Coturnix japonica: one gene and its partners. The protein of the gene in region 2 interacts with the protein of the main gene of each other region in a biochemical or structural test. Links are inferred from orthologs where the notes say so. Each region holds a gene or a part of one and is shown on either strand. Other genes may lie near its edges.

Evidence for each region. The genes of interacting proteins can lie anywhere in the genome.
Region 1: of the proteins of PRKN (region 2) and CCNE1, one has a biochemical effect on the other in vitro, tested with the Homo sapiens proteins (2 studies listed by BioGRID). The link is inferred for Coturnix japonica from reciprocal best matches to the Homo sapiens genes PRKN and CCNE1.
Region 3: the proteins of PRKN (region 2) and UBE2Z form a complex in vitro, tested with the Homo sapiens proteins (2 studies listed by BioGRID). The link is inferred for Coturnix japonica from reciprocal best matches to the Homo sapiens genes PRKN and UBE2Z.

The regions. Positions count from the first base shown.
Region 1 is NC_029526.1:7,172,490-7,178,684, reverse strand, and holds the start of CCNE1 (G1/S-specific cyclin-E1), read right to left. Parts: upstream 4,853-6,195; 5' UTR 4,518-4,852; coding exon 4,504-4,517; intron 4,413-4,503; coding exon 4,322-4,412; intron 4,176-4,321; coding exon 4,107-4,175; intron 1-4,106. Other genes in the region: uncharacterized protein F13E9.13, mitochondrial-like, read left to right, coding at 5,109-5,181, 5,671-5,753. UniProt on the Homo sapiens protein: Essential for the control of the cell cycle at the G1/S (start) transition.
Region 2 is NC_029518.1:40,120,113-40,127,890, reverse strand, and holds the start of PRKN (E3 ubiquitin-protein ligase parkin), read right to left. Parts: upstream 4,630-7,778; 5' UTR 4,519-4,629; coding exon 4,321-4,518; intron 1-4,320. UniProt on the Homo sapiens protein: Functions within a multiprotein E3 ubiquitin ligase complex, catalyzing the covalent attachment of ubiquitin moieties onto substrate proteins. Substrates include SYT11 and VDAC1.
Region 3 is NC_029542.1:3,064,372-3,070,592, forward strand, and holds the start of UBE2Z (ubiquitin-conjugating enzyme E2 Z), read right to left. Parts: upstream 4,853-6,221; 5' UTR 4,811-4,852; coding exon 4,479-4,810; intron 2,596-4,478; coding exon 2,523-2,595; intron 543-2,522; coding exon 355-542; intron 1-354. UniProt on the Homo sapiens protein: Catalyzes the covalent attachment of ubiquitin to other proteins. Specific substrate for UBA6, not charged with ubiquitin by UBE1. May be involved in apoptosis regulation.

The DNA of each region.
Region 1 (6,195 bases), on a different chromosome or scaffold from region 2:
CTGCACAGCAAGTCCAGCTGCCAACAGCATTAAGAGAAGCAGTGCCTTATCGGTTAATCAGCAAACCAACAGAAAAGCCATGCATTAGATCTAATTGAAGGTGCCTACTACACCAGCAGTAGCTAAAAGAAAAGTTCCACTATTCTCAGCCAAAGTAGATACCATGCAGCCACTGATTGGAGAGAGATTTCATCACTTCCTATCTTCTATAAGGAAACAAATCAAGATTCAAGACTTTTTTAGATGTCTTAAATGTGAAAACAAAGCTGCTAGATAACAGTTCACCAATATAACTGGGGGAGAACACAAGTAACAGTGAAGCACGTAGCTCAGCCAGAGATAAGAATGGAAGCAAATAAGCAGGGCCTTCAAAAGCAAGAAAGGAGACAGAAGTCTGAATTAGCTGAAGTGAAAAAACACCACAGTTTTTATACGTATTTTGGTCGAGTGGATGAGCTTATTAGATTCCTGATTCTTTAGAGCAGATTGAGCAAGATATTCAGCTGAAACCAAGCAGTAGTATCAAGAAATTGCAGAACACCGCATACTAAACATAAGGAAATAAAAGGACTGCTGAGCTGCTACTGAAAGTGAAACAGTTTAAGGTGAGGAGGGTGGGAGGCAATCCGGAAGAGCTTCCTCTGGGCTGGCACAGTGCAAGCCCTAAAGCACATGAGGCACTAGATACAGGTAGGACATGAGAACACTCATTAGAAGAAACACCTGGAACACAGCAGCTGATTCCCATACCTCATTTTTCTGTAGCATGTCACCATGTACCAAACACTGACTGAAGTGGAACTTTGCAACACCTTTTGGGCACATAGGCCAGCCGCCAAATGGAGCAGGTACCGGCCATTTGGATCACTGTGGCAGTCAGAGCCTTCAGGAAATCAGCCACACAAGGTTCTGAGACACCTGTGCCCCTCAGAGCCACCAGTAAAGTTACTAGGGGCAAAAGGTGCCAACAGGAGGGTTGGAAATGACAGTAACCCAGAACTGCACTAAAAACAGCAGCGTCCCTGGATTTTCAGTATGGAAACCCAAACAAGCAGGAGAAGTCAGCCAAGTCAGGTTGTCTCACCTCAAAATGTAGCATTTCTGAGCAGACAGACTTCAACTATTAGATTGCAGCCTTACTCTGCCCATCAGAAAGCATTAAGACCTACAATTCAAGTCAATTTTCACTCACAGGAAGCATCAGAGGTTGAAGTACAGGGCTTTTCCATGAGAAAGAGATTCCAGAATTATTAAATGAAGAGGAGAAAGAAGAGCAACAGTTCAGTCATTCCAATTCATTTTGAACAGCATAGGAACTTCTGGCACTTATAGGCTTTGAAAGAGTCTAAATATTGCCCTGCCAATATTGGGGCCAAGCCAGGCTCTCAACTTGGATATAGGTAACATTGTTCACTTGTGTAAGTGCATGAGGTTTTTGTTGTAGTCACTGCTGCATTTTTGTTTTGTTTCTTTAATTTTACCTTTCAGAAACAACCTAGGCTTGTTAAAGAATCTCTTCAGAGGACATTTTAAGATCATTAGATAGAAAATTTTGACAACAGTAAGACTAGAATATGGAAAAGTGGCTAATGAGAAATTGATCAAAACTGATTACCGAAAGCTTGCTCTGTCTCCTTTCTATCCAAAAAGATTAGGTAGCCCCATCCCAAGATTTCTTATCATTTCTGGTTTCTGTTCTCCACTCTAGATTCAGGAGAACACGCATTTTCTATCATAATTGCATGGATTACTCTCATCAAGTTAAATGAACTTTGCTTTATGCAAAGCCTTGGAAGTGTATCCATCCATAGAAAGCAGCCAGAATTAATATGAGAATTGCTTACAGAATGACAGCAGTGCCAGTTCTCCAAAATCAAACACAGAATTGATGCAATATTCCGCTGTCACAAACCTCATGATATAGCCACCCTCCCATCACATAAAGGGTAACAGCATTCTGATTAAGAACTCAGGCCTTATGTTCAACAGAAGCAAACTAATGAATTGACTATGAAGATGCCATAAAGTGGGATGTGACTACGATATTTTGCCTCATGTATAACCTAGTGTCAGTAAACAGTTTATTTAATGTAGAAGTCACGTGGAACAGGCTGCAGAGGATTTATAGCTGCTTGCATTTTAGAATTGTTGTGCCTCAACAGAATAACTATCTCACTGGCTATCATACAAGCCTGCGATACTGCTGCTGGAACCATAAACATATTCTCATTAGTGGCCCATGGCAATTTATATCAGAGAATAGCTTGTGTCAAGCCATAGACTGAAGAGCTGCTGCTGTGCAGCCAAATGTTAGCTTTTTTAAACAGATCTGTAACAATCTGGCTACTTTGTCATAACAAAAAAACCTTCTCTGTGTAGAGACTGATACACAGGTATCCATTTTTATCTACAGTTTACAGAATCAAAGGGCCAAAGTCCCACCAGCGTCCTGAAGACAGCTTGGAAAATTCCTAAATTAATACTTTGGATGCCTCCTGCCTGAGTTATCTGAATATTGCTATACCTATCGTTCCTGAAGTAGCATTTAATAGCAACACCATATAGAAAGAAAAAGAAAAAAGAAAAAGCCCCAGTAAATTGGAAGCCTGTATCCCTGTATCTACTTCCAAAGCTGAAGATCAATGTATGCAAAATATATTTCAAGCCGCTTTTCAAATTACAATTGCAATAAGGGTTTTTTCAATGGTACCTTATTATTATGGAATAAACATTTATTAGAAGCTCTTCCAGAATGTTTTGCTAAAGGAGGGGTCTGCAGTGAAGGACAGGCAGCTCTTCCTTGTCAGTAGTGAGAAATTAGTTTAATATACTGCACAAAAGAAAGACAGAAGGGAAGGAGAGATCCCCTCATTAAATGCTCACCATTTGAGCCCTGCTTAATATGTTGACTGATAACTAGTGTACGCAGTTGCAACAAGCAGAGGCCATTCCAAACAATGATGCCCATCTGTTATGGTAGCACTTCAGTCTTAGAACTTCCAGCTGCCACTTCTGGTTAGATGTGCCACATTATGCATAGCCTCGCGTACCAAATGAGTACTGTCTGTACTCCCTGATCATGACTTTTGCAGCTTAAGTATCACCCTGCATGTGCATTAACTGGCTGAAGTCCTTGCAACAGAGTGAGTGAGCATGTGTGTGCATATGCACAGGAGAGAATCATAAACAAGAATAAACCTACTTCCGAGAGGCTGATTTTGCTCTTTTATTTAGAGCAAGCATCTCAATGCACAAAGGCATCTTGCTTTCAATACCAGATACCAATAAAGCACCCAATATAAACACGACTAACGTATCAAGATTGAAGAACTTAAGAACAGCACTAAGAAGTTTAGGGGATGCTACTGGAGTTCAGTCTGACTTAGTAACTTGGATCATGCCAAGTGTCCTATTTGGAAACTGGCACTGGCCACCAACCCCAGCGAGCAGCCTCATTTGTTCTTTGGCCTACAGTATAAAAGGCTTTTAACAAATCATCCCTTTCATCTGCAGAAGCCTAAAGCCCACATCACCACCACAGTAGTATCCAGTACTATAAACTCCTAATCTGGAACTTCAAGTACTCCCTCGACCTAATAAAAACACTTGCCAATGAGAATAGAGCTAACTAAGAGGAACAAGTGATCTTTCCTCTCTCCCAGGTTATATGTAAGCATAAGACAGGGTTACAAAGAGATCCATCTCAAAACTTGGTTCTGTTTGCGTGCCAAAGGGCTGCATGCTTTGGCCTGCGGGATACAGCACGTAAGTGAACCACTGAACTCCTACAAGGCTCCAGGTACGTCAGTGTGGAAAACTAAGTGTGTATGAAGGCTTTTGTAGGGCACAGCCTGGCAGCCCCGGGACATTTAGGTACACTGAAGCATTCACGTAATGGTTTAAAGCAGTGTAGGCTTCATCCCTTGCAAAGGCTCCAAAGCAGGCCATGCCACTAAGGTGGTTTGTGGCCTTCAACAGCCTGGGCTGGTGGTCCCCTCAACCACCACCACACAACACGGGGTAACTGCATATCTGTGTAATACCAACATCCTGCACCAACAGGCTACTAAGACCAAAGGAAGGTGATCTAAGGCCACAGTCATTACCTGGCTTTCATATTGCTTTTTCCTACTCATTTCAATTTTGGCAACTTCTTCATCGGGATCCTGTAGGAACTACAAAAAGAAAAGAAGGGATTTAGGGCCGCTCACCCCCCCTGCAGCACATGGCCACCCACCCCCCAACAAAAGGCCGCGGGAGCAGCTCCAGGCCCGCACCGCCCTCCAGGCCGTGCCGTGCCGCCCGCCGGGCCTGCACTCACCGTGGCCACATCGGCTTTTCTCTTGCGGGCCCGCACGGTCCCCTCGGCGCCCCCTTCCCCCTTGGCGGGAGCCTTCTCCTCCGCGCAGTCGCTGCCAAGAAACGAGAAGCGTTAAGAAAGAGCCGCCCACCCGGCCTCGCTAACGGAGAAGCCGGCCTACCCGCAGGGCCGGCCGGACTCACCTCTCCCTCCGCATGCTGCCCGCCGCCGGACCGAGAGCACGAGCGGAGCCGGGAGCCGCAGCCCCCACAAAGAGCCACGAGGCGCGGAAAGGCCCCGCCGCGCCCCGGGACCCGCTGAGCGCTCAGCACCCCGGAGCTTCCCCGGACACAGCGCGGGCGCGGCGCTCGGTGCCCGCCCGACGGCGGCGGGGACGAGGCGGGGCAGCTCGTGCGGGGCACGGCACCGACTGCGGGCACCAACCGCGGGCAGCTCCTGCCTCACGGCGCGGCCGCTCCCGTCCCTGCGCACATCGCGGCCCGCACCGAGCGGGACATTTAAACGCGCGGCGCGGGGCCGCCTCCCGCCCGCACACGTGGCCCCGCGCCCAGAGCCGGGGGCCGGCACCCGGGTGGGGCGGGGTCTGCGGGCGCGCTCCGGCCCCGGGGGAGCGCGGGGCACCGCGGGGAGCGGGATCACACGGTGTGAGCAGGGGCGGGGCCGGCGGCACCGGGCGGAAGCGGAGCTGGGAGGGGGGCGGGAGGCCCCGGGCGCGACCCCGCGGCGGAGGGGTGAAGCGAGGTGAGCGGCTGAGCCGACGGCAGCGGGACCAAAGACACGGGCTGCCATGGCGGGGCCGCGGCTCTTCGGGCGGCTGCGGGCGGCGGTGCTCGGCGTGGTGCATGTGGCTGCGCTGCCAGGTGAGCGCGGGGCGGGACGGGGAACACGCGGCGCTGCGGGACCCGCTCGCAAAGTGGGCGGCATGGCTGTAGGGGTCGGGGGAAGAACGGGCACCTGAGGGAACCCGCAGCGCTGGGGGAGCGCTCAGAGAGATGAGGGATGACGAGATATAGGCCGGGCGGAGTGCACAGGCCTCGGGACAGCTCGGACACGTGGCTCCCTGTGGTGCTGCGTCCGGCCCGAGTTCTCATGGCTGTGTGCCGGGCCGTAAAAGAGCTGAAAGTGCCGGTACAACACCGCATCAATACCCTCAGATCTGTGAGTGGCTTCAGGAGCGAGCAGATACAGCTGAGCTGTGACGTTCAGCAAAGGGGAGCACATCTCGTTTAACTGTTTTACCCCATTTCTCTCTATTTTATTATGTCAGCGCATATAACTGCGTTATCAGAAAAGCATCACTGGCTGTATGGCTTGCCTTCACATTGGGGTAAATGGCACTGTTGTTGCAGGGACACCGAGAAATTCTCTTCCGTTGGCACAAATAATTGAGCAAGCTTGTCAAGAAGCAGAAGATTACAAGGATGCTGGAGTTGTAAGTCCTGGTTTCCTTCTTCCCGTGGCAGTATTTACACAAAGCTGCTTCTGCACACCCAGTGAATTGAATTGAGTCTGAGTGACCTAGAAATCATGGAAAGCACCTAAAACCACCGAGTTCAGGAAGACATTTAAACCTGCACCTTTTATTTCCACACAAGTAGGCCCTCCAAGTATCAAAACCTGAACTACACAACACACACACCCTGTGGAACTGGAAAAGCTTAGATTCAAACTAATTTGAGTCTTTTAAATAGGATTACTATCAATTCCCAAGAATCAAGTCAATAAAAGAGAAAAAAAAATAAAACAGATGGAAAACTGACAGCAATATGAACTGTTGCTGGCATTCTAGGTATCTGGATGTAGGATGCTTCATCATCCAGTCTGACAAGCTGCTTTACTTAGCTCTGCTTGGCACACTGCGTTCATGAAATCAT
Region 2 (7,778 bases):
GTGGGGCTCTGTAAAATGCACTGCCACTTCTGTATTTCAAGGTGTCAGTTAGATTCTTAATGTTCATGGGTTTATTACTAACATCAAGCACACAGTTTTTTGCTGGTTAGAGACATACTTTGCATTTACTATAACCAAGTTTTTGCTTTGTACCTTCAGCAAAAAGAAGTCAGAAAATCTAAAAAGTACTGGAAGCTCTATTATACTGCGTTGTGCTTTGAAGTAAGAAAGTTGCCATACACTTACTTGCACAAGGCCTTTCCAAACTATGCAGTGTTCCAGTCTGCTAAGCAAGTTGTTTTGAGGGATATCTACTGAGATCCTTTGTCACAAGGAGCTCTGCCTGGCTTTGAGCTTTTCACACAAGGATAAGGCTTTCAGTAGAACCAGGTGCTCTAATTATTGAGCTCTAATGCCTACCATTCAGAAACTGCTCCACAACAAAGCATATCCTTTCCAAACCACCGTAACAATTCAGCACTCTACAATTATTTATAGCACCATTTCCATAGAATCATAGAATGGCCTGGGTATTTCCCTCCTAACATTTCTTTTTTTCTATCTTGTGTAGAAGTGACCATCTATGTCATCATTGCCTTTCACTCATTTTTAGTTATGCTCACCAACCCACACACCAAAATTTATTAATGCTTCTAGTCATCACAGTTCTTTTTTGAACACATGTATAAATAACATTAGAAAAGCATCTACATGGATATATGCAGTCCAAGACAAATTCACAAAAAGCTTATGACCCAAGGCTTGAGACTGTGCTCCTGCCAAATACAAACCCTCAATGATATGGAAGATTCCGTGGCAAAGCATATGCTAAAGCCAGCTAGTCCTACTACTACTAATCATATCCTTAGTCTCCACCTGTCTCAGAATTGTATTTTCCACATTTACCTGACAGAAGAAAAAGCATCTAAAAGAAATGGCTTCAGATTGGGAAACAGAAGACTTAATTCTACCCCTCTTCTGCTGACTTTGAACAAGCTATGAATTCCCATCACATCATTTGTGTATAAACTATGCCAGGCAAGGAATCTCTCTTGTTTGCCATTTGCAAAGTTTCTCTACACAAGTGGATTTTGATTTCTCCCAGAAAAGGCAAGCCTATATTAATATAATACTGCTTCTAGTATTAACATTAGTAAATTTCAAATAAGTGCATTGAGCAAAATTGGATATTTATCTATCTATCTATATATATATGTATTGCTTCCAGAGAGCTTAACTGATTTTCTAGTCTTGGAGGCAACAGTAGTATTTCTGTAAGCAGCAGTCATCTCTCCTTTAAATATTTCAGTGTTCCTAATACCCAGCCATCACCTTCTTATTCCTTTGGTGAATTTGCTATGACTGAGTTCTTCTTTTGCCCTTCTGATTGACATAAAAACTCTTACCAGTGTTCTCATATACCCATGATCGTCTTCTGAAACATTTCCTACTTTGAGTATATATTAATTAATTACTTCTATTCATTCCAAAGTGAACTGTAATCAGCAGGGAGCTCTTCATCATTCTTCAGGATATTTAGCACCCTTAAAGTGACATCATTTGCTGTGCTTTTATGAAGCAGGTTATTGCTCTAATTCCTTCCTATGAGATCCAAATTTTGCAAGTCTCATTCTTCACCCAGTCATTACCAATCTTTTCTTAGCACGGCTCTAATTTCACTACTTGCTCCTTTGTCACTAGCAGAGATACTGATCTCCCTTGTGTACAGTTGAATCATTGTCTAATCTTTCTCTTTTTTCAAGGACAAAACACCAATCTGCGCTACCAAATTAAATGTCTCCACACATATTTCACTCCTGTCGTTCCTAGATATTTTGTACTGTTGTTGTTCTCAAATTTTTCACTTATGTAAAGATCTCAAGTTGGCATTTTCTTCCTTATCCTTATTTCTCTCTAATATTTGTCCAGTCAGCATGCATTTCTCTTCTACAGTATTCAGCTACCATGAAAGATTTTTCCATTCTCTCTGAACAGGAAAACAAATGTAGTTTTCACATTTTCAGTTGTGTTCTGTATCACCTGCACGAGATCCCAAAGTAGCTGTCAAGCCAAATCTAGCAGTTCTGCAAGCTGTGAAACCAGTAAACTTTGTTATCCAGGGATATATTTCTTATATCCCTGCCCCACACTCCTAAGATTATCCCAGCTCATTCCAAATCTCTAAATTCTCCCACAGTATCCTGGGTAAGTAAGCACAAAAGTAATTTATAAAAACAAAAGGAAAAAATGGTCTAATTAGAAATTCTAAGCTACCAAGAACTAAGATTCAGCCATGTAAAAATGTATGTTGTGTTTTGTTTTATTTTATCTGCATGCAAATCATTAGGTCCAGAAAACAACTGTTATTAATTTTCTTCTATGTGATGTTAACTCTGATATTACAGATGCAACATTAATGCCAGCAGTTACTATTTCACTAGCACTCAGCTGCTTATGCAAAAAGCCCCAAATTGCCTTCTGTAGGAAAAGTCAGATATATCAAACCATCTACCATTCTTCTTGTGTTGACAATTTCTACAATGAATAGATAAAAACAATTAAAATAATTAAATACCAGGAATAAAAATCTTGTTGACATGTTGGTATTAATCATTGGATTATGTAAGGCACTTAAATACACAAATATGGATTATGCCACCTGAAATAGCCATTTTACATCCTATATGCTTTAGAAAATGAAAGTCACAGCAATGAACATAGATCCGGTTTATTAGTAAGACTTGGCTACACTTGATAATTCTGTCATTCCTATTAAATAAATTAAGCAAATAGTCAGCAGGCTTCTATATCCAAAAAGCACATTTTAATTTGCACAGCAAAGCATTGTATGTTGTAACTGACAGCAATTTTTTTTAAAGGCAAAAAACATGATTCAATGTCTGTGACATAAAATAGCAGTAACACCAATACCTACAGCTGCTCAGGAAACACTAGGAGTTCATAAGCTTAGGACAGGATAACACAGACAACCAGAACTAGCAACTGGTATCTGGTAATTTCCACTATTTTTCTTCTCACATGTGAAAAAATATAAGTGAAATACACTGCAGTTTACATCACAAATATATGCATCAATGCTATCTATAGGTTATGCATTGTGGACTGACAACAGTTCATATTTCTGTATTGTGTTCTGTCCTAAAACACACTAAAATCCTTTGCAAAATATTGAGTATCTTAACCACAGAGAAATAGGACGGGTCATTAATACAGTAGTAACCCTTCTGTACCCAGACTTAGCATCCATTTTAATTACAGAAATACTTCTGAAACACGACTGCTAATTAACATGAAATACTTCTGCCTGTGAGGGACCTTTTATATAATCACCTGCAGTAGTAGAGACTGTGTCTGTTATTTTGATACAACTGCAGAAGGATAGCAGTTTCATTAAGGCAGTAAATTCAAGAGCACTCTATTCAAAGGCCTTTAGGTTTTCCTATGTTCCTACATGTCTTAGATGTATGATCTTATGCTAACCCCTTCCTGAACATACTCTGAAATTCACATTCACTACTCATAGTATAAATAAAAACAATGATAAAGCAACTGTGGCAGCACTGGGAAGAGTAGTAAAGAGTACAAGGAAGAGAAAATTGAACCTATATTTCCATGCTTACTACAGCTCATCACAGATGAACAATTCTGCACTTATTGAACTGAACAGCTACCTAACCTTGAAAAACTGAAATTCAGATACCCACTTATAGCCATTCTTCCACACTCCTTGCTGCTCTCAGTTTCACACATTTATGAGCTTGGTGGTTTGGATCACACTTCCATGAGCTTTTTAGAACTGGAACCATCATTCCAGCAGTGCGTTCACCTGTGTATGGCACACGGCAGCATTCAGAACAGCAGCAGCAGCCCTGTAGCTATCCTCCAGGGGTCACAATTGGGTTACAAATTCTACAGAATGTGCTGACCGTGCAGCCTGATCTGAAGCAATTTATTCACATCCTTCTTCATTAAGATTCAAATGGAATAAGTAAAATAAAAATTGAACAGATACAGAAATTGTGCATGGCTTGCTTCTGTAGTCAGTAAACATTTATTCACTAGGCACAGCTCTCTCCCATACTCTCTCACTCATATGCTCTCCCTATCCTTCCTGCTTGCTGTTTTAATGCATAATTAAGAAGGTCAGAATTAATGAAGCAGTGTGGAGTAAAGTTCAAGGAATCCCCAGGCACTATTTATTCTATTAGATCTCAGGAATGAATGTCAGATTGGCAGCATTAGAGGCAGAGGCAGCAGAGCTGGCAGCAGTCCAGGAGCAAAGCTACCACAGAGGCTTACCTGCAGCGTTAAGTCGTTGCTGAGCTCTCTCCCTGCAAAGATCACCCGCAGCTGGTCAGCTGGAACTCCCTGTCGCTGCGCAACCGCCTCCTTCAGCTGGAGGATGCTGGCTTCCAACCCAAGCTCCACCGGGAAGCCATGGCTTGAGTTGAACCTGACAAACACTGAAAAAGAGAAAACACCTTTTAAAGCAAACATTTCTCACTGCCGGTCTGTACTAGAGTGACTACAAGTGGCTTATTTGTCAATTTCAGAGAGCACTGACTGTTTTAAGAGAAAAGCTACTAATACTGTAGTGTATAATTTGGAAAAGAGGAACTGTATGGGATTTCCCTTCACAGAATAGCTAGTGACTAATAAACAAAAGCCACGTGCTTCCCCCAGCAGAGCTATAAATTGAAGAGAAACATCAGAACCAAAAGGGACCCATCCAGCCAGCAGTCCAGGCAACCACTAAGTCCTGGAACAAATCTCTGATCCACAACTGACCTTAACAGACACAGGACACACACACTTTCTATGCCCCTTGTGCTCTTTCCTGCTGCACGTAACAAATGCATGCAGAAAACTGAGTTTTAGAGCTAAGTTACATTAAATAATACTAAGCAAAACAATTCACTGTTATACTGCAGAGCACGGTCACATAAATTGGTTCCCCACAGATACAATTCTGTGGAAGGTAATGATGGAGAGAAAAATCACACGCTAGCAGAAATGTTTGGGAGTGTTGTATTACACTGTGGTCTTTTCAGAGTTCACTAAAACATCTGCAGTACATAACTCCTGCTGGCATGTTCCTTCAGTGCAGGAAATCACTACCGCACTCGCCATATCATTTTTAGAGCTGCAGAGAGTGGTTTATATATCCTGAGAAGCCTGGCAAATAAACTCATGAGCTTACAGCCATTCAGCTGGCAGTGTTGTTTTTCACAAGGGTGCTGAATGTGCTCATTGAGCCCTTGACCAGGGGAGTGACTACAAGAACTATGCAACAAGAAAAGCTTGACTACATCCATACCAGTCACTAAGGCTGCATAAACAGTACACTCAATCCCAGTGGGCTGCTTCAGCCAATAAACAGTTCCACTAGCACAAAGCAAAGGAATTAGCAAGTAATATAAAGCAATAAAATCATTTGTATCAATTAGTCACTGGCTACCTGACATTTGAACTGTTTAGGTATTGATTGCAATAACCATCCCTCTTGAAGATTTCCCATTCCCACTGCAATGTTCTAACTGAAGACATACTCCTTTGAATTTTTTATGAGTGACAGATGCATAAATTCAAAAGTGCTCATACAGTTTGAGGAAATCTATTTTTAAACTGACAATAGGATCAATGATTTTCCAAACACAAAGTGTACCTGACTGCTGTAAAGGAGTCAAATGCTTTAAAAGCATGCGAATATAGTTGAGAATGATGGCGATTTTTTGCTGAGCAATGAACGTTGTAAATATTTGCAATTTTACACCTTTAATATAGATTTTGCTATTTCTGGATAATCTTTAAGGCCATAGACCAATATATTTTTTTACACAACATTTTGAGTTTTGCACATCCTCTAAATTTACTAAAAACCAGGATAGGATTACATAACACCGTGTCAGGAGGAGTGCAGTACATACGGCCTACAATGTGTTACAGAGTCTCCTGCAGTACATCTTGTTACTGGGTTTGATTTCTATATAAAGATGTTCTGGAAATAACTGAAATGTGCAATTCTTGTATATGGATTTTTTGAAAGAGTGAGTGTATTTTGAATTTTAGTTTGATTGCAGTTTGAGAAGTAAAGAGCAAAATAGAGGGCAAAAGTAGTTCCAACTACTGAACACTTCCTGCATTCCCAGGAACACTCAAAATGCTCAACTATGAGTAACATTATATTACTGATATTACATAACATTATATTGATCTGTACTTAAAACAACAGGGTATATAATTCATTTATCTGCTAAGGTGGGACTATCTACATGTACATATATACAAAAGGATACACTCACATACACACCTAATACCTGCATATGTGCATTTCCAAGGACATATTCCTATCTAGGAAATTATGCTATTTTCCTTTAGTCGTATGAAAACCAGTGTTTTGGCTCTGCAAATCAAACACTCTGATAAGTGCAAAATGCTTGATAAAGTAACAAAGAAGCGATGGAGAATTTAAATGACTTCTATAGTAGTACTCTCTTTCCAAAGACAGGTACATTCAACACACTTACTGCATGCTGCAGCAGAATTGCCAGATCATGCCCTGAACCAAGAGTTTGGCACCAGGTGAGAAGGCATGGCTAAACCAGGGAGCTCAGGTGTAAGCAGTGCACCTGTGTAACTGGAAGGAGCAGAGCCTGGATCCACCCTTTCTCACCCTCATTTAAGAGTTAGAAGCTGAGGGAGCAGTATGTCTACAGACAGCGATTAAGCTCCTCTTGAGCCATCATTGGTTGTTGGAAAGGGTGAGCTACTTTTTCTTCTGTACTCTGTAGTGCTTGTATCCAATTAGAAGGGTCTGTCATTGCCTTCTTTAACCATACACAAACATAATTCATGCTCTCCATCAACAGCTGCCATCCCTTTCCCCATGCATGTTTTCATTCATCACTAAGAGGAACAGTCTTCCCCCTTCCAATACGTACAACAAAGCAGAGCATCCATCTCACAATTCTAATACAAGCATATTTTCCTGGCAAAATGCCCTTCTGTATGTTTTGCACCAGGTCTAGCAATTACAGACTGACAGATGTACATACAACAAAGTTAATCATGACTTCATGAATTAACAGTCATTGCTGAGCCACGATACCTGGCTGCACTAAGACTCCTCTATTACTATTGTAAAATAAAATGCAGTAATGTAGGCCAGCTTCAGAGCCACAGCAGAAGAGCATACACAAGTAATAAGGAGCAACTAATTTAGCTAGACTATTTTGGTTGCCTCTGATAATTTGTAAATTACCTTCACCTTACAAATGATTTTATGATGTAGTCACACACAGAGAGCAACACAGTAATCAAACATAAACAGCGTCTATAAAACCTCATCCTTAGCAAGGTTATTTCTCTCCTTAGCAAAAGGATAAAGTGTCTCACAGAAGCATCTTTATTTCTAGTTAGCTAAATGAATACCATAAAGAGTGTAAAAGTGTTCCTTGATTAGTTACTCAAATTTTTATATTTGATTTCTGTTTTATATCCATTTTAAACAGAAGTCATGATTGACTTTTATTCAGACAACTATTTATGACAGAGCCATATGGGAGCATTCATAATTACTATATTTGTATCTGCTGTCAGTTTTCTACAAAATCATGAATAGCATGGAAGGGATGAGTAGGGACTGGGCATTCACTTCTACTTTTAGAGATTTAGAGGACATTTAGATGAGCTGGTAGGAGCCAGGTTCAAAGCAGACAAAATGAGATGGTTCCTCACACTTGGGAACTCTCTGTCAG
Region 3 (6,221 bases), on a different chromosome or scaffold from region 2:
CATTCAGAAAGCATGTAGGATCAGCTTGCAAAGAGCAAGAGCAGAAGAAAGGCAGCGCTCAAGCCAGGGCTTTGCAAGGGGAAGCAGAAAAGTGGCAGCATCCACTGAACTTCATGCTTCCCCCGCTCCGCTCTCAGATGCTTTTAGAGACAAGTCAGACTCTTAGCTCAGAAGAGGAATTTGTGCTGCTTTACGACTCTGATCCAGTGCATAACTTCACAGAAGCATAAAGGTGCATCCAAGCATGTTTGGGGCAAGATCAGGGCACAGCGTGTTGAGAAAGATGTGCGAGGCACAGTGCAGCCTGTGGCTACCTCCTGATTTCCCACCAAAACAGCCAAAGTCTCCTCTTACCCTAGAATACTCAGGCAGACTTTCCCATTGCGGTAGAAGTTGGGGTTAAACCTCACTGTGTTATTTCCCGTTGTCATCAGTTTGACCCTTGGCGGGTGGATGGGATAATCTGGAGGACAGCGAAACAGGAACAAGAAGAAACCCCCTTCATAAGGCGTGTCAAATGGGCCTGTGATCAATGCATGAATCTGGAAAACAAAAGCCCATCTTGCGCACCACTTCAAAATTGTGCAGCACCATCAAATCCTCAACAAAGCCAACCGAAGGCAAGAAACCTCCACCCAGGCATGGACACAGCACCTTCCCCAAGCACACGCCACGTGCAGGCCATACACAACCCCCCTCCCCTTCCTTCCCTCCTTTAGCCAGAGCCACTGCTGCACACTTCTCTCCCCTCTGCCACACTCAATGTGCAGAGCAGGTTTCCAACACGAGGTTTGGCCACGGTCCACAGCAGCTGCCTCCCATACATCTCGACACAGCCCAAAGCAGACTGAATCACAGTTCAGCTGGTAAGCTCTGCTTTAAAAAGCTTTCAAATATGGGGAGGGGGGGAAAAAAAAGTCTAATTTTAGCATGGAAAAAAGGCAGATTTTTCCACCAAAACCAGAACATTCCTCAATTTTATGGTCTCGTGCTGATTTGGTTTTATTGAAACCAATCATTTAATTACTTCTGCCAGGATCTAAAATTAAGACCCCATGCTCCCCTCGCTAATTACCTTCTAAAAAATCTCAGTTGCATACCAGGAAATCTGCTCCCATTGGGCTATTAGGGAAGCTTCCTCCTTTTCCATCCTCCTGAAGCGATCCAAGCAATCTCCTTTAATGATCCTCTCACCCACCTAGGATGTTAGTTAAAAACCCCAAGGCTGCTGTTCTACAAACCCGCATTCCTGCTGAAGGGCATTTTGGCACTTTCAACCTCCAAACCGAGGGAGGTCAGAGCTCCAGCAAAATGCCCAAGGTCTGAGTTGTCTGCACACAGACACTCCCTTTGTGCTGTCTCCAAAAATCCAAGAGCCCTAAGCCAGGCAGGTGCTCACACTGAGGGAACCAAGGGAGTGCCAAGTCTGTCAAGGGGGGTGAGAGAAGTGTGCAGCAGAGGAGAAACCAAAGCAACCCCATCCACACACACATACACACATAGAGCTTTCTCAGTATCCAACACAGCCAGATGAGGTGACACTGGCTGGAGAAAGGCAGCATCAGCCAAGGAATGCACTGGATCAAGATCACTGTTTGAGCAACATCAGCCTCTAAGATCACTGCAATCTCTCAGGTGTAATTGGCAATTCCCTATCCTGGAAAATCCCTAGAGCCAAGCAGCCAGGAGGGGAAGAACTGGAGCAGGAGAGACAAGAGACACACCTGGCCCCAGGGAACAGATGTGCTGGAGATGATGTGATGGGAGTAGCTATGCAGGTCAGATCTGCATGAGCTCATGGAATTGTTTGAGTTGGAAGGGACCTGTAAAGGCCAGCTGGTCCAACTCTCCTGCAATGAACAGGGACACCTACAGCTCAATCAGGTGCTCACAGCCTGGTCCAACCTGACCTCAGGTACTTCCAGGGACAGGGGCATCCATAACCTCTCTGGGAGAGAGGCTGTTACCTGTTAGAGCCAGGTAGGCAGCTCCACAGCAGGACAGGATCTGGGCCCAGGGTTTAATCCCACTATCAGGTCACAACAGTTAAACACCTCTGCCTTCTGCAGGTGACTTACATATAATTTCCAGTGACTGAGATATGTTCCTCATTTCCAGCCCCTCACAAAGCCCCCCCATGGCCAAGAGATTTCCACAGAGATCTCTCTGAGCTAATCTAGTGATTCTTTTTCAAGCATCTGTAGGGGAAAGAACAAGCTGGATTGGCACTCTGCTAGTCCATAGGGACACAAAATAGGGCTGTCTTTATCAGTGGAAACTCCTCAGGTTCCTGTGATGGTATCTCTCCACAAAGCCATTTTTAACTTGACAGCCTCCTCCTATTTAAATACAGCCCAGATCGTCACCAAGAAACCCAGAGCTGCGCTGTGCTCTTACAAGACTCACCCTGACTTCTCTCAAAACAAGAAGGGATTACACCATTTGGGAGAACCCTCAGAGCAGCCATCAATAGCAACATATAGAAGAGTAGGATCATGAACTCATTCCAAAGTGTCTCTTACCTTGGTCATGTCATGGGGATCAGGCACAACAAACATTCCCGGGGGTGGTTCCTTGTAAATAGACATAATATCCCTGGAATAAAGGAAACAGGAATTAGTCAAGATCTCCCTTGGTGTTGATCAGCCCTTGAGGCGTGGAATGTTCCAGTGGACAAATCTGTGTAGAGATGCAAAGGGACAGAATTAAGATGGGAATCTGCAACTCAAAGTGGTGGATGTTGGGGTTTTTTGGAGTCTGTTTCTCGGCTGAGCTCTCTTAACTTATCCTAAACAGTAGCTGAAGAGCACAAGCAGCATTCAATGAATAGTGAGGCATCAGACCTCAGCACCTTGGCAACACGCTGCCTTGCATTTTACACCATAACCTAACAATTAACAATAAATTTCTCCTAAGGTCAGCATGAAAAAGCTCTCATTGGTGAATATTGTTGCCTAATAGAAAACTTTACCTCCCTGTTTTCTCTCCATACACATGGACTATTTACAAAGTCCCTCCTATAGACCCATTCACTTTTTTCCCCCATCATTACAGTACCTGGACCGTGTCTGAAAACATTACTGCTCTGTCAAGTTTGATTTTAGTCTGACAGTGGGTTCAACTGCTATTAGGAGACATGGACACACACACAGCTTAAATCACAACAGTTTTATTTCCTGGACTAAATGAACTGAAAAAGAAGGAGATTACCAAACAGCACCCATCAACTTTTATTGCCAAAAAGCTCCCTATCATAATCAGAGCTTCACAGTACTCTGGGACAAGCTACCACTAGACCTGTTCAAGAAGCAACCAGAGTTAAGAGAGGTTTCAGGGCAATAACAAAGTTTGAGAACAACAGGAGAGTTTTGCCTTCCTACTTCACATGATGAAGTTATTGCTTTCGGTGCTTGGATGGAAAACTGCCAGAATATCTGGTGCCATCTTTGGAAGACGTTAGACTAGCTCTAGAACAAGCAACAGAACAAGGATGAGCAAGAGCCTGGCAGGCAGCAATTCTGTTCTGAAGGAAGAGGAAGAACTTGCTGACACAGTGCCAATATCTCTAACAATAAAAGACAGTATTGCTCATGGTATCAAAGGCTATTGACACACCAGGTTTAACCAGATGATCCTTCAAAAGTCAGAGCAGCCAAATGGGTGGGCACCAACCAGGAAAGGATTGTTACCGGCAGGTTTAGGATAACATCTTGCAAAGCTCAACTGCTGATGGGGACAGAGGAGCTCATTCTGCTCCCATTTAACAGCACCTTCAAGGAGCACGCTGCAATCCTGAGGGCAGGATGAGGGCAATGTGTCACAGTGTGGTTGCCAAAGGCCACAGCAAGAGCAGGAGGAGGATGAGGATATCCCAGAGGGGCTGTGGCCTTCATCCAAACCCCTCAGCACAGAGCCCTGGGGCTGCACCTAAAAGAGCCCTTGGGCATGGTAATGAATTATAGAATCATTATGGTTGGAAAAGACCACTTAGATCCACAAGTCCAAGTCCAGCCCACCCCCAAACCACATCCCTCAGTGTCACATCTTCATGGTTCTTGAATCCCTCCGGGGATGGTGACTCCACCATCTCCCTGTGCATCCTTTGCCAGCGCCTCATTAGGAGACAATTCCACTTTAGGAGGAATTTCTCCTAATACCCAACCCGAACCTCTTCAAGCACAACATAAGGAAACCACCCCTCGTCTTACAGCTTCTACCTGGCACAGAGGGCAACCCCCACATCCCCACTATGTCCTTTAAGGCCACTGTAAAGCAATAAAGTCTCCCTCAAGCCTCCTCTTCCACCAGGGGAACCCATAGACCAGTCCACAACCCCGAACCCAACCGAACCCCCGCAGACCAGTTCCCATCGCCCTTGAGGAAGGCAGGAGGCCCCACACAACAACCGGGTTTCCCATAGATCTCTATGGACCGGGAGAAGCCGGGTAGGCGGCCCCGAGGCAGGTCGGCCCTCTCACCGTTTGATCCGCAGCAGACAGGCCGAGCTGGGCCTCTCGCTGTCCCAGTCCCCGCTGACCGTAGGGTCCCAAAAGGCGGAATGAGTGAGGAGTGCGGCCCCCGCAGCCGCCGCCGCAGCCGCAGCGATGGGAGCTCCGCCGCTAACCGGGGCCACGGTGGCGGCCGGCGGTGAAGAGCCGAACCCTGCGGCAGCCCATAGTTCGGCTGGGATGAAGACGCCGGGGTTTCCCGTTCCGCTTCCCGAACCGGTCGAGGTGCCCCCGCTACCGCTGCCCGTCGTTGCCAGCACCGAGGCCGGAGCCGCATCTTCGGCGGCCGGACTCTCCGCCATTCCGCGGCCGGCCTCGGAGAACGCCGCTTACTTCCGGGACTCCGAACCAACGAGTCGCTCGGCTAGAGCGGCCACCGCCTCGCACCTCCTTCCCAGAGCGTCACCCCCAACTCCCCCCCCCGCTCTGCCCTCCCACTACCAACCCCCCCCAACTGCCATAGAGTCACATTGCGGTACCAGAGCGGCTCTTCCGCTGTGACCGCCCCCTGGTTCTGCACCGCCGCGCTACAGCGCCCCCTGCTGTGATGGCGGACTGCAGAGACAGTAGCATAGCTCATGGAAATTGGAGATTTTAGAAGCTTTATATTGAATTATCTGCTACTGAGATGCTGAGAGATGATGCTCAGCCATCAGTGAAGCCATTTGACTCCCTGCCATCCTCAGGGATACACCAAATAATTTGCTTGAATCCATTTCACACCCGGCATCAAGAAGAAACGCGATGCAACCCAGATTACCCTGTTAACCCAGGTCAGGTTATGCAGCAATGTGATGTGAATACAGCTCAAACACCACGTTAACATCAAGACCGAATGTTCCCAGAGACCTTCAGTGATAGATTTGCCTCCACGCTTCAGTGGGAGCACTGGGAGCTCCCCCCATGGTCAGTCTGCCTCCCTCTGACTCACTGCTGTGATGCACTATAGCCTCTCACTAAAGGAAATGTAAAAGAACAAGTTAACTTGTGTATCATGCTGTCTGTCAGCAGGGGGTTTTGCATGGTTAACAGCTCAACCTCAGCTGGAATAGAAACCCAGGCATAGAACAGGGTCCTCTCTGAGCCATTACGTACTTGTTCCCACTCAGCACCCTCTGAATGTACAAACCTTCCTCTTGTTCAGCTCATGGGCTTTTCCTGACCATCCTGTTCTCCTAATAATGGATTTATTTGCTTGTTGTTTTGGGGCAGAAATCAAAACCCTTCTCCAATTCACATTGACATTACAAAGGAACAGAGAAGTTACTGATATCCGTGTCCCCAGGAAGGTCACAACCACACATCAGCAGCTTTAGCATACACAGACACTGCATTAATTCAATTACCTAAAGCTGATAACCGGACAAGCTTCCCACATGGTTACCTTCCTTAAAGGCACAGCTGTCTTACACTGGGTCCAAGATTCAGCTTAGACCTTAGAACTCCTCCTTGCTCAGTGTGCTCCAAGCTCTGAAATAGCTGAGGCATGCAACTGTTGAGAAAGAAATAACACAGTCTGTGCTCCTGTGCTTAAACCAATGCTTTGAAGAGGCCTATGAACAGCGTGACCTTGAAACCATTTTTCCTTTGTTCATCTCAGATGGGAACGTATATCCTTGTGTACTTGCACAATGTGTCATTTCACAACCCAAACACCTTTAATACACTCTATGCACACTCACCTGTACCCATCTTATTTCAATACCATAACAT